Linked DNA regions of Schizosaccharomyces pombe. The protein of the gene in region 1 binds, or shares a complex with, the protein of each later gene. Each region holds a gene or a part of one and is shown in the gene's direction. Other genes may lie near its edges.

Region 1 (4,684 bases):
GCTAGAAAATAGTTCTAAAGGTTCCGCGCTTTTTAACAGCGCCAATTCTATTGGAACTCCGTACCTCTCGTCCAGGAACTCAAATTCAGCAAATGAGGCGAGTGCTATGGCTTTCCACAATGTCTCTCCTCCTAGTGGTGCTGAATCTTCTTCAGAAAGTAAAAGCTTTTCTGCCAGTGGAAAAGGCAATAAAGCTGATACATCCGCAGAGCCTTCGTTGGATGCTTTTAACAGTACCCAAATCAAAGCAGGATCGACTGCCAATTCTAATTCAACACCGGTTGAACCCGGTGAAGATACCATTCCAACGGCTATTGTTGTGAAAAATATTCCTTTCTCGTTGGAGAAAGATACATTGTTGGATCATTTTAAGCAACTAGGTATTCCCAGACCTTATGCCTTTAATTATCACTATGACAATGGAATATTTCGAGGATTGGCTTTTGCTAATTTTTATCGTCCTGAAGAGGCTCAAGTTGTTGTGCAAACGCTTAATGGCTATGAAATTAATGGCAGACGTCTTCGTGTTGAATGGAAACGCCAATTACCAGCTGCAGAACGCGAGAAGGTGGAAAAAGCAAAGAAACGTCAAGCTGAAGAAAGACGTCGTAAACAGCAGTACAAGATGTTTGAAGTTAGCTTTACTGATCAAGGCTTAAATTTGAATGACACTGGTACCCTTGAAACTTATAGTAGACTTCTATTGTTTGCTCATCAATGCATTCCTTCTCGTGAAATAACATTTGAAACCACTTCTAAGGACGGAAACCTTCTAAATGCCATTAGAATCTTTTGCCTGTACTTTGATCTCGATTACTATGCTCGCCCGAATGGAGAGGTGTTAAAATTAGTAGTTACTCATCCGAATAAAAAGAATACGAGCGTAAGTCAGTCGCAACCTGCATCTCCAAATTTAAGATTTAATATGCCGGCACCGTTAGCTACTCGATTTTTGCAAGAGCATTCATTGAATGGTACTAAGAGTGCCCCTATAACCCCACCTCCCAGTTTCGCAGTACCATTGACAAACCAACTTCGTTCGATTGACGACAAAATTTATGGAAATGAATCACCGCTTCAAAAGGCTTCTACTTTGAGTTCACCTTTCAATTCAAAAAATGATAATGATGCTTCTACCTCCGCTTCCAAGCAGAGTTTTGGTGTCTCCCACTTTTAGAGTCTATGCAATTATAAAGAAACTGTTTATGTACCTTTTAAGATATGATTTTTGTTTACGCCAACTATAGATGCATTTACTATACGCTATTTGTTTTGACTAAATTTTGCTCTTTATCCCTTTATCACTTACTTCTGATGAATCTAAACTCTATGGGCTTCATTTTGTTGATTTTTTGTTTTCCCTTTCACATAGTTGGTTATCCAGCAAATAATCCTTTTAAATACTTAGAAGCTTATATTTTATCGTTTTGAATTCCCACGACACATTTGGACGACTCGACTTAACAGCAATCAATGATGGATATATGTTGGGTGAGGCATAATGTTTTATGACGATAATCAACGGATGAGCGATGCTCCTATTTTTTTACAAATTATAACGATTTTTCTTGTATAAGAAATTTATGCCCTACCGTATAATATACACATACTTTACATGATTAAATTTAACCTTGGACAAATACATTAGTCTGATATTACAAAATTGAACTTTTATTTTTGTAAATTTAATCATCTTCTTTATGTGGATGTGAATGTTCCTAGCTTAGTATTACCGTACTATGGATATAGAAATAAACCTACGATTTAAAGTCTATTTTCTACCAAGCTTGTAGGGCTTTAAATGAGCTACTTTAAAATTACCTAAAATATCGTTAAATTTTCCTATATAATGCGAATTGATTTATATGTAAAAAAGAAAAAGAAATTGCAAGCATGGTGGACTTTTAGTTCCATTGTTAGTAAGTTGTAATTAAAGGAAGTTACAAAGGATTCACTAAAATAAGAATACTTTATGGGTTATCGCAGCCTTACTCAATTACTGCACTTGAATGTCTATTGAATTTAAGAATGAAGAAAGGATAACACAAAGATGCACGATTCTTTTTGGATGAACTTTTATTTTTTGTTAAGGTTATGAAAAAAGATGAAATACACTTGACCTTGTAATTACTGCAGCTAGAAAAAGAAAATATTATAAAAACCAGTTTCATGAGTTATGGCTGGAAGTACCGCACAACACCATAAATATTGATAATCTGCTATATTGCCGATAATATAAAGTTAAATTAGTAGAAAAAGTAAACTAAGAAACAGAAATTTTCTTATTTTACCCATATAAACCTATGTATTAGAGGATAGCAATTGTATTTATGAGTTCGAGGGGAACAAGATCATCAACTGCTGCCGAGCAGAAAAGGCAGGAGGATGTAAATAAAGAATCAAATATGAATGATTCTGTTACTGAATGGTCTGTTTTAGAGGAAACCTTACTGTTAAAAGCTATTTGTCGTGGATTGCGCCCTGTAGGTAAGTGTTCGAAAGGTTAATTGCTCGGTCTCTTATTTTAAAAGCTGCATGTTATCAAATTATTGCATTCATTCACTAATTAAAAAATAGGAATAGAAAAAAATTTTTATATGATAGGGATTTTACGAGAAATTCGTGATGGCTGCAAAAGATCAACAATTAAGGCTCAGGACGTTTGGAATAAATTAGGAACACTTTATAATTTGAAAGAGTTTGAAGAATTGGTATGTCAAAAAGCCTTTTAATTTTTTGTTTTCAAGTATTTGTTGACAGTTTTTTAAATTAGGAAGCTCCAGGAAATGAAGAAGTTAAGGCGAAAGAAAAACGAATAAAGTCGCCAGATGTTAAAGATTTTAAATTACCAAAAGATATTCTTAAAGTAAAAGAAAAATCCGAGAAACCATTGGAAACATCTCAAAAAGTGGAGATTGAAACGGTAGAAACTAAACCCGGTGAACCCGAAGTTAAGCAGGAGACGAATTTACAGAAAGAGAAGAAGGAAAGTAAAGTCAAGCTTGAATCTAAAGAAGAGAAAATTTCTCGGAATTTACGATCCTCTTCTAGAAGTATTTCTCCTGTTACTGAACAGCCGCAAAGTCCAAAGATTCAGCCTGTTATTCCCGAAAAAAAAGAAAAGTCTGAAAAGAAAGAGAGTTCCATGACTTTGCGAAAAAGATCCGTCTCGCCATCTTCTCAAAATACAGCCCGTTCTCCAAAGCGTATGGCTACTGAGCCCATAGAGCCTGCTTCTTCACCGGCAGCTTCAAACCAAGCTATTCGCCGTAGCTCTCGAAGCCGGAGGCCTCCGACCTAGCTCTTGTTAACAGAAAAACCTAGGATGGGAAAGACTGATTATTTGTACATATCATTTATGCTTGGTCTACTCTAATGAACGGTTATTTATATATGAGACCAAAATTAATTATCACAAGGGATTTATAAAAAGTGAAAAATAAAAAGAATTATGATTTTACTACAACTAATATTTTGTATGTCAAGGAGATTTGTTTTAGCAGAATTATAGGTTTAATGGGATCGACGGCATGTCCAAAACTAATTTGCTTTTGCAGTTTTACTCCTTTTTGATGCTCGATTCACGTAATGGGAAAAGACGAACGGCTTTGTTACAAACAAATTTACTCTGATTTACCGCTACGATTTTTGAATCCCGTCACTTCTTTACTGTTCGTTACGATGTTTTATGTAGCTATATATACTGTTTGATAGCTTGACTTGCTAAAAAAAATCTTCTAACTGTGAGTTTTCAATTTTAATTCGATAGGTCCATATGTTAATGTCGATTTGGTTGGAAATATGTTTTAAAGTATGTTTAACACGCATAGACAGAGAGATTCCAATAGGTAGTATACATATTACTTTCAAATTGATGAGCAAATTGTTTTCAAAACCTTACACAGGTAACGATTTGATCAATGAATTTTTCAATTCCGGTGAAACGGACTTGAGTATTCACATGAGTTAATGTATTATTTATCGGCACATCAGACCATTGCCTAGCAGAGTCTGCCGAATTTAACAACTTTTAAAACACAATAGATCTATAAGTACAGCTCTCTAATAGCAAAGCAAAACTGAGCAACCCGTCATTGCGAAACCTTTAAAAGACATCAAAAATACACAAACGCGCTTGCATTCAGGTACATAAACATGCAGCGGGATCTACTTCATAGAGTTTCGTAGATTCCCTTACTTGAAAGGTTAATATCGTACATAATTTTCATACTGTGAGGCAAAAATCTCATTAATATTTAGTATTCAACAACATAAAAACAATTTTAGCAATTAAACTTGAAACCGTTTAATAAACAATGGAAGTACACTAACAAAGATAATCCTAGTGTCTCTCTATTCAGAATTGATATTCGCCGTTTTACCGACCTGATAGGGTAATAGGGCTCACTATCAGTTACACATAGAAGGATTACCAGTTTATCTATCAGCACATAAAATTTGATATAAATAGTGCATCTAGCCCAAAAGTAGTAAGAAGTTTTTCCTATATATATATATAGCGGCCTTCCGCTTGGTAGATTTCATCTTTGATGTATTCACACACATTCTTGAAAACTTTGAATTGTTTAGTCAAAGACATTGAAAGCAACTTGTTCATTGAATTAATTAATTGTTCAAATTGGTCAAACAGTCAAACACAAGGAGAGATGCTATTAATTCAACG
Region 2 (6,669 bases), on another chromosome or scaffold:
AGATAGACAAGTGCTAAACTGTTTGGCTCGACAAGTTCAAGAAGAGAACAATCACTCCGTAGCAGTGGCACAGCTTCAAGAATTTTCTTTTCGTTTCGAGCAAAACCTTATCGCAAAAATTAAAGACACGGTTAAGCAGTTTGAGGGCATGATGAATCAAACCCATGTCAAAGCTATTAATCACCTCCAAGAAGTTGTTCGCGTATCAGAAGCACAAACCCTTGCTGGCGAGTGGACCGGATACGCAAAGCGTGAGCCGGAATTTATTCATGGCTCTGTTCCCCCCCGCAGCGTTGATGCTATAAAATATCCTGGTAAGAATGACCAACCCACTGTACCTATCATGGCTGGTTATTTAATTCGTAAAACAAGTTTTTTAAAGAAAAAACAAAGAGGTTTTTATGCCTTTACACATTCTGGCTATCTTTACGAATTTAAATCTTCTGATTCACTTCAAGATCCTGAACCCGAATTCGCCCTTTACATACCTGATTGTCTGATCGGTCGCCCTTCTGAGAAGAAACCCAAGTTTAAAATAACTGGCAAGGATGCTACTAAGAAAATTTTTGGCGCGCGAAACGATTACGCGTTTCGCGCTTCTAACAACACCGAACTAATGAGATGGTGGGAAGCGTTGAATACCCATATTGCTAATGTGAACTATATACAACCTTTAAGCAACGCAAATGGTCCATCAGCTGTTTCCGACAGTGATGATGATGATGATGATCCAAATGACTTCCGTCCAGCCGTCGAGCGTCAAAGTTCTACGATGAATACCCGTATGTCGCAACCAAGCTCTGCTGTCAATACAAATCGAAGTTATGGTTCGGAACAAATTCCCTCATACGCAGATAGCCAAGGAAATTCTGGCGCCAACAACAACTTTATTTACAACGCTAGTGCTACTGGTCATAATGCTTGGAATGTATAAAGATTGTATATTCGCAAATTAGGTACGAAATGTGCTCATGTATATTTGTTACACTGCCGTTGTGTTTTAAATGGCAGTCTTTGTAACTCCCCCATACCCGTCTTAATTGTATCTTTTTGATTCCCGTTTAAAGCACTTGAATGTTGATTGTGAACCATTTTACTGTTACTGTAATGAATTCATGATAGTGTTTCTTGATATATAGTGAACTTTTGAAACACCAGTCAACAAATATATAGGTATTATATATAAACTCAGAATAAATACATTTTCTGTTCACCCATACCTGTGGCTGATGACTGTTTCAATCGGGAAAGTTACTTTTTAATGTAGCAGGTTTCATTCCGATATATCTCAACCGCTCGTTTCATGTTTATTAATTTAGCAGCTGGGATGATGGTATATACCTTGTAAATAAAGTGCCTAACATACTTTTATTGGTTTTTGTGAATTAGCTGAGCGCGTTAGTGAAGTAAATTCCCTTAATTATGAAAAGTACTTCTATTATTCCTTATTGGCATTATTCTTTTAATTGGAAACGGAAAACTGAAGAATTGTATTACTGTTTATAGCATTTTCGGTACTTTCTGGACAAATTTCGAATATACTCGTGTTCAAACCCGAGAAAAATATTTTCTAGATTTTTATATTATCAAAGAACACTAATTTTAATTGAGCATTTCAGGATTTTTGAAGTTGATCGTTTAATTTATCACAGCTATCTTGATATGTGTAAAATGAAAGTATTTATTACTCTTTTCATCCTTTCAAAAATTTTATTAATTAATTTACTTTCTATTGGAAACGAAAAGGTTAGCATCGTTTGCTGTAAGCGCAGGTTGAGAATAATTACGTCGATGCTATAATAACGAGCGAAACTCTAACTTTAAAAATCATCTCGCTTAATGAATTTCAAGGTAGCAAAGATTGTAAATTCGTCGAAATTTGCTAAACAATTTAATTTAAAGCAGTAAAGTTCACAAAAAACATACCGACATTTAACGAATCGGTAAAGAAATGTTTTCGAAACTAGCAAAACTCACCACCATGAAAAAAAAATTTTCAGGGTGGCTACACAATTTGTACATGGAATAAGTATCCACTTATTGAGACTCAAGATGTCGAATGATGTTGATGATGAGTCCAAGATTGAAACAAAGTCTTATGAGGCTAAAGACATAGTTTATAAATCCAAAGTCTTTGCATTTAAGGATGGAGAATATCGAAAGGCGGAGATTTTAATGATTCAAAAAAGAACTAGAGGCGTCGTCTACTATGTACACTATAATGACTACAATAAACGTTTAGATGAATGGATTACAATAGATAATATTGATTTATCGAAAGGAATTGAGTATCCACCGCCGGAGAAGCCAAAAAAGGCTCATGGAAAAGGAAAATCCTCAAAACGTCCAAAAGCTGTTGACAGACGACGATCGATTACAGCACCTTCAAAAACTGAGCCTTCGACGCCTTCTACGGAGAAACCTGAACCATCCACCCCTTCTGGAGAAAGTGATCATGGATCAAATGCCGGGAATGAAAGTTTACCGTTATTGGAGGAAGACCACAAGCCCGAAAGTCTTTCAAAAGAACAAGAAGTAGAAAGGTTACGGTTCAGTGGCTCAATGGTTCAAAATCCTCACGAAATAGCTCGAATTCGTAATATAAACAAAATTTGCATAGGAGATCATGAAATTGAACCTTGGTACTTCTCACCGTACCCTAAAGAATTTTCGGAAGTAGATATAGTTTATATTTGCAGTTTTTGTTTCTGCTATTACGGATCTGAGCGACAATTTCAAAGACACCGCGAAAAATGTACATTGCAGCATCCACCCGGAAATGAAATATACCGTGATGACTATATATCCTTTTTTGAAATTGATGGAAGAAAGCAACGTACATGGTGTAGGAATATTTGTCTTTTGTCCAAACTTTTTCTGGATCACAAAATGCTTTACTATGATGTTGATCCCTTTTTGTTTTACTGTATGTGTCGCCGCGATGAATATGGATGTCACTTGGTAGGATATTTCTCAAAAGAAAAAGAGTCCTCCGAAAATTACAACCTTGCTTGTATCTTAACTTTACCTCAATACCAAAGACATGGTTATGGCAAGTTACTCATACAATTTTCTTATGAATTGACCAAGCGTGAGCACAAACACGGCTCACCTGAAAAACCACTTTCTGATTTGGGGTTGATTAGTTATCGAGCGTATTGGGCTGAACAAATCATCAACCTTGTGCTTGGAATGCGAACTGAAACCACTATTGACGAATTAGCCAACAAAACTTCAATGACTACTAATGATGTGCTACATACACTTCAAGCACTAAATATGCTTAAATATTACAAAGGTCAATTTATTATCTGTATTTCAGATGGAATTGAGCAACAATACGAAAGATTGAAGAACAAAAAAAGAAGAAGGATCAATGGAGATTTGTTGGCAGATTGGCAACCTCCTGTTTTTCACCCTTCCCAACTACGATTTGGATGGTAATTCTGTACAAAGAATGGATTAGATGCTGGTCGTCTTTCTTAAAAAAAAAAAAAATTCTCATAATTAAAGTATCTCCTAGATATATATTAATGATACTTAAAGTTTGAAGGAATAGAGACTAATTTGTAACCTTTTATTTCATTTTAGTTACTTTTGTAATTTCGATATTCCTTTGATTAGAAAAGCCTCTGCTATTGCCTTGGTTTTTTCGGCTGCTCCATTTTGCAGGATAGCTGGATATCGTATACTAGCCCACATGTATGCTACTATTAATTTGTGAAGCTGCTCTAGTTGTTGTAACTCGGTTTCAGTGGTTGGAATTCCGCGTTCTAATATTTCCAAAGGTACAGACTTCAAATCATATATTTGCAGACGTTTTCCTTGAGCGATAACACATCCGATTTCCCGAATAAATAGTGGTGCGTATTTAGAATGCTTTAACACTGGGCACCCTAACAATTTGATTTTATCTTTAATGGTTAAACCTTTTATGTGGTCTAAATATTCAATAATGAATGTGCTTAGTGCTCCTTCCGACACAACAAATGGAGTAGTCGTTTTCGCTAACTTAAAGTAACGATCGAAAATTAGCTTTTGAGGAATGTCATCAGAGAATAGTGATAAATATCTAAAGAATAAATCGTCCTTAGCTCCAATACAAGCATTGAATAAGTTCTTTGTAGGAAGATTCATGGCGCGATTTAATTTCGCAAAATCTTTTTGATATAGGGTAGTTACTATTCCAGCACTTTGCTTAGATCCATTGGGATTATGTCGGCCAGCTCTTCCTGCTATCTGCTTAATTTGTGGTACAGGGATGTCTATAGTGGAAACTCCACTAAACTTTTTTAAATCGCTGAAAACAATACGCTTTACGCCTAAGTTGAGACCCATACCAATGGCATCGGAGGCCAGCAAAATATTTTCATCAGAACTCTTTGAATTAAATAAGCTTGCTTGTTGATTACGGACTTCAGGAGGCAGTGAACCATAAATAACGGCAGATTTTTTTCCTAATGCTTGATCAATTTTAGACTTCAAAGTAAAAATGTTTTTCCTTGAAAAAGCCACAACACAATCCCCGTCTTTGAGTTCACTTAACTTTCCATTTAAGCTCTTTTCTGCAACGTGGAGAGGATTTAACCGTTCGTATCTGTAAACAGTAAAATCATCTTGGGTCATTTTAGCAATTGAACGCACTAATTTAACAACACTTTCTTCTCCGCATAAATGAATTTCCTTAGCCTGCAAGCCAAGCAAGCATTGAGTCCAAGCATATCCCCGTGAAGGATCAGCCATCATTTGGATTTCATCAATGACTGCAACATCAAAAGTAGTAGATAAGTTGCACATTTCTACAGTACATGAAACAACCTGAGGGAAAGGATAATCATTTCTAATCTCTTCCCCTGTGTAAAGATTACAAGCTATTCCGTTTGCTTGCAAGCGATTATAGATTTCGTGAGCCAAAAGTCTTAAAGGGCCAGCAAATATACCTTTCTTGCAAGTCTTAAGTCTTTCTAAAGCCCTATGTGTTTTCCCGCTATTCGTTGGGCCGACATGCATAATGATATGCCTTCTGAGTTTTCTCGCTCCTGGATACCACTCAATTGGATTTTTTAAATCTGTTAATTGCTTTTGTAAGTCAGGTCTTGTTTCTTCTATTCGCTCTTGATATCGTACATACTTCCGATACTCTGAGAGTAAACAATCATGGATCTTTTTTATTTTCTGAAGGTCAAAAGTAGAAGAAGATTTTGAAAGAGCCAATGATTTATCAGAGTTTTTTAAGTCAGAAAATCCTAAATCTGTAAGGATATTCTTTTTTAACTCATAATAGTATACATTCTGAAAGACACTGGCATCCTTGCAGACATTGACAAAGTCTTGGGCTAAGTATGCTTGTTTTGACGAAAGTTCTTTGGAAGCAAATAAATATGCAGTGAAGCGATTGAGGGCAGCAGCCCACAAGGTATTTCCTGGGAATTTCCTTTGTTGAAAAACATCCTTTGATAAAGTGTGAATTCTAGCAGACTTGCTAAAAAACGGTACACAAAACGTTACGCCATGAATCAAAGTTTCCAAAAACATTCCTGGCGAGTTAAAATCTTTCTAGCAATGCTCTATTGCTGGCCGCCCTGTAACCAGAGCAAAACTTAATCCAAGTATTTAAAGTAATTTAAAAACAAGAAATGTTTATATAGAAAATTAAATACTTCTCAAACGTCTGAAGGTCCCTGGCTTTATCGCTTTTAAAAATATTACCTTCTATTAATTAAAAAAGGAAAAAAAAAGTAATAATTTGACTACGAGATTCAGTCAAGTTGCCTGCTGAGGCCTCTAATATGTTATACCAACAGCTCTGCATGTATCTCCAAAAAATTAGTATCTCAGCAGTACCCTTTAAATTCCAGTTTTCCGCTTCAGTAAATATATAAAATTTTTTAAAAAGCGTTTATTACCTACACTTGTATTATAACAATTTCACGCATTTGGTGTTGGCTTTCGATTATTTACGCGTGCTGTAAGAAATTAGAGAACCTGTGGATTCGAACAGGAAATGAATTGTGTATCACCATGTTTTTCGATGTTTCATTTTGTGATGCGTTACATATCGTTATCCGAGAATGACTAGAGAAGGTGAGTAGTAATACCTTGTCTAGTTCACTTTGCAACACATCTTCTGTAATCTACCAAGCGTTCTTTCAAATTTCTTCGCATTAAGTTTTAAATTATAGGTCTTCAAGATGGTGTTAGAAGCAACGATGATTCTGTAAGAATTTATTTTTGTTAAATTATTGCTCTAACATGGCAGAATTGATAATTCAGAATGGATGATTAATGGTGATTATATACCTACGAGGTTTGAAGCTCAAAAGGATACTGTACATATGATTTTCAATCAAAAGATCAATGATAATCCGGAGAACATGTGTGGTTTAATGACAATTGGTGATAATAGGTATATGATTAATATTACGGCTTGAACGGTACTTTATGTTCAGCTATAAAATACTTTACAGAAATTCTAATCATATTAGTCCCCAAGTTCTTTCTACATTAACCAGAGATTATGGTAAATTCTTATCTGCAATGCACGACCTGCCTGTCCGAGGAAACGCAAAGTTTGGCGATGGTATACAGATTGCGCAGTTAGCCTTAAAGCATAGAGAAAACAAAATTCAACGTCAAAGAATTGTTGCATTTGTAGGTTCTCCTATTGTT

Evidence for each region. Proteins that work in one complex are often made in the same cells at the same time.
Region 2: eaf7 (region 1) and mst1 share a complex: the UniProt entries of both Schizosaccharomyces pombe proteins name them as parts of the nuA4 histone acetyltransferase complex.

The regions. Positions count from the first base shown.
Region 1 is NC_003423.3:4,258,966-4,263,649, reverse strand, and holds eaf7 (NuA4 histone acetyltransferase complex subunit Eaf7), read left to right. Parts: upstream 1-2,188; 5' UTR 2,189-2,330; coding exon 2,331-2,487; exon of another isoform or gene 2,488-2,577; coding exon 2,578-2,711; exon of another isoform or gene 2,712-2,773; coding exon 2,774-3,301; 3' UTR 3,302-3,838; downstream 3,839-4,684. Other genes in the region: RNA-binding protein Cip1, read left to right, coding at 1-1,177. UniProt on the Schizosaccharomyces pombe protein: Component of the NuA4 histone acetyltransferase complex which is involved in transcriptional activation of selected genes principally by acetylation of nucleosomal histone H4 and H2A. The NuA4 complex is also involved in DNA repair.
Region 2 is NC_003424.3:4,558,159-4,564,827, reverse strand, and holds mst1 (histone acetyltransferase, KAT5 family Mst1), read left to right. Parts: upstream 1-1,998; 5' UTR 1,999-2,052; coding exon 2,053-3,444; 3' UTR 3,445-3,591; coding exon of another isoform or gene 3,592-5,535; 3' UTR 5,536-5,727; downstream 5,728-6,669. Other genes in the region: slm1 (cytoskeletal signaling protein), read left to right, coding at 1-934; ATP-dependent RNA helicase Rpm2, read right to left, coding at 3,592-5,535; 19S proteasome regulatory subunit Rpn10, read left to right, coding at 6,192-6,217, 6,260-6,406, 6,486-6,669. UniProt on the Schizosaccharomyces pombe protein: Catalytic component of the NuA4 histone acetyltransferase (HAT) complex which is involved in epigenetic transcriptional activation of selected genes principally by acetylation of nucleosomal histones H4, H3, H2B, H2A and H2A variant H2A.Z.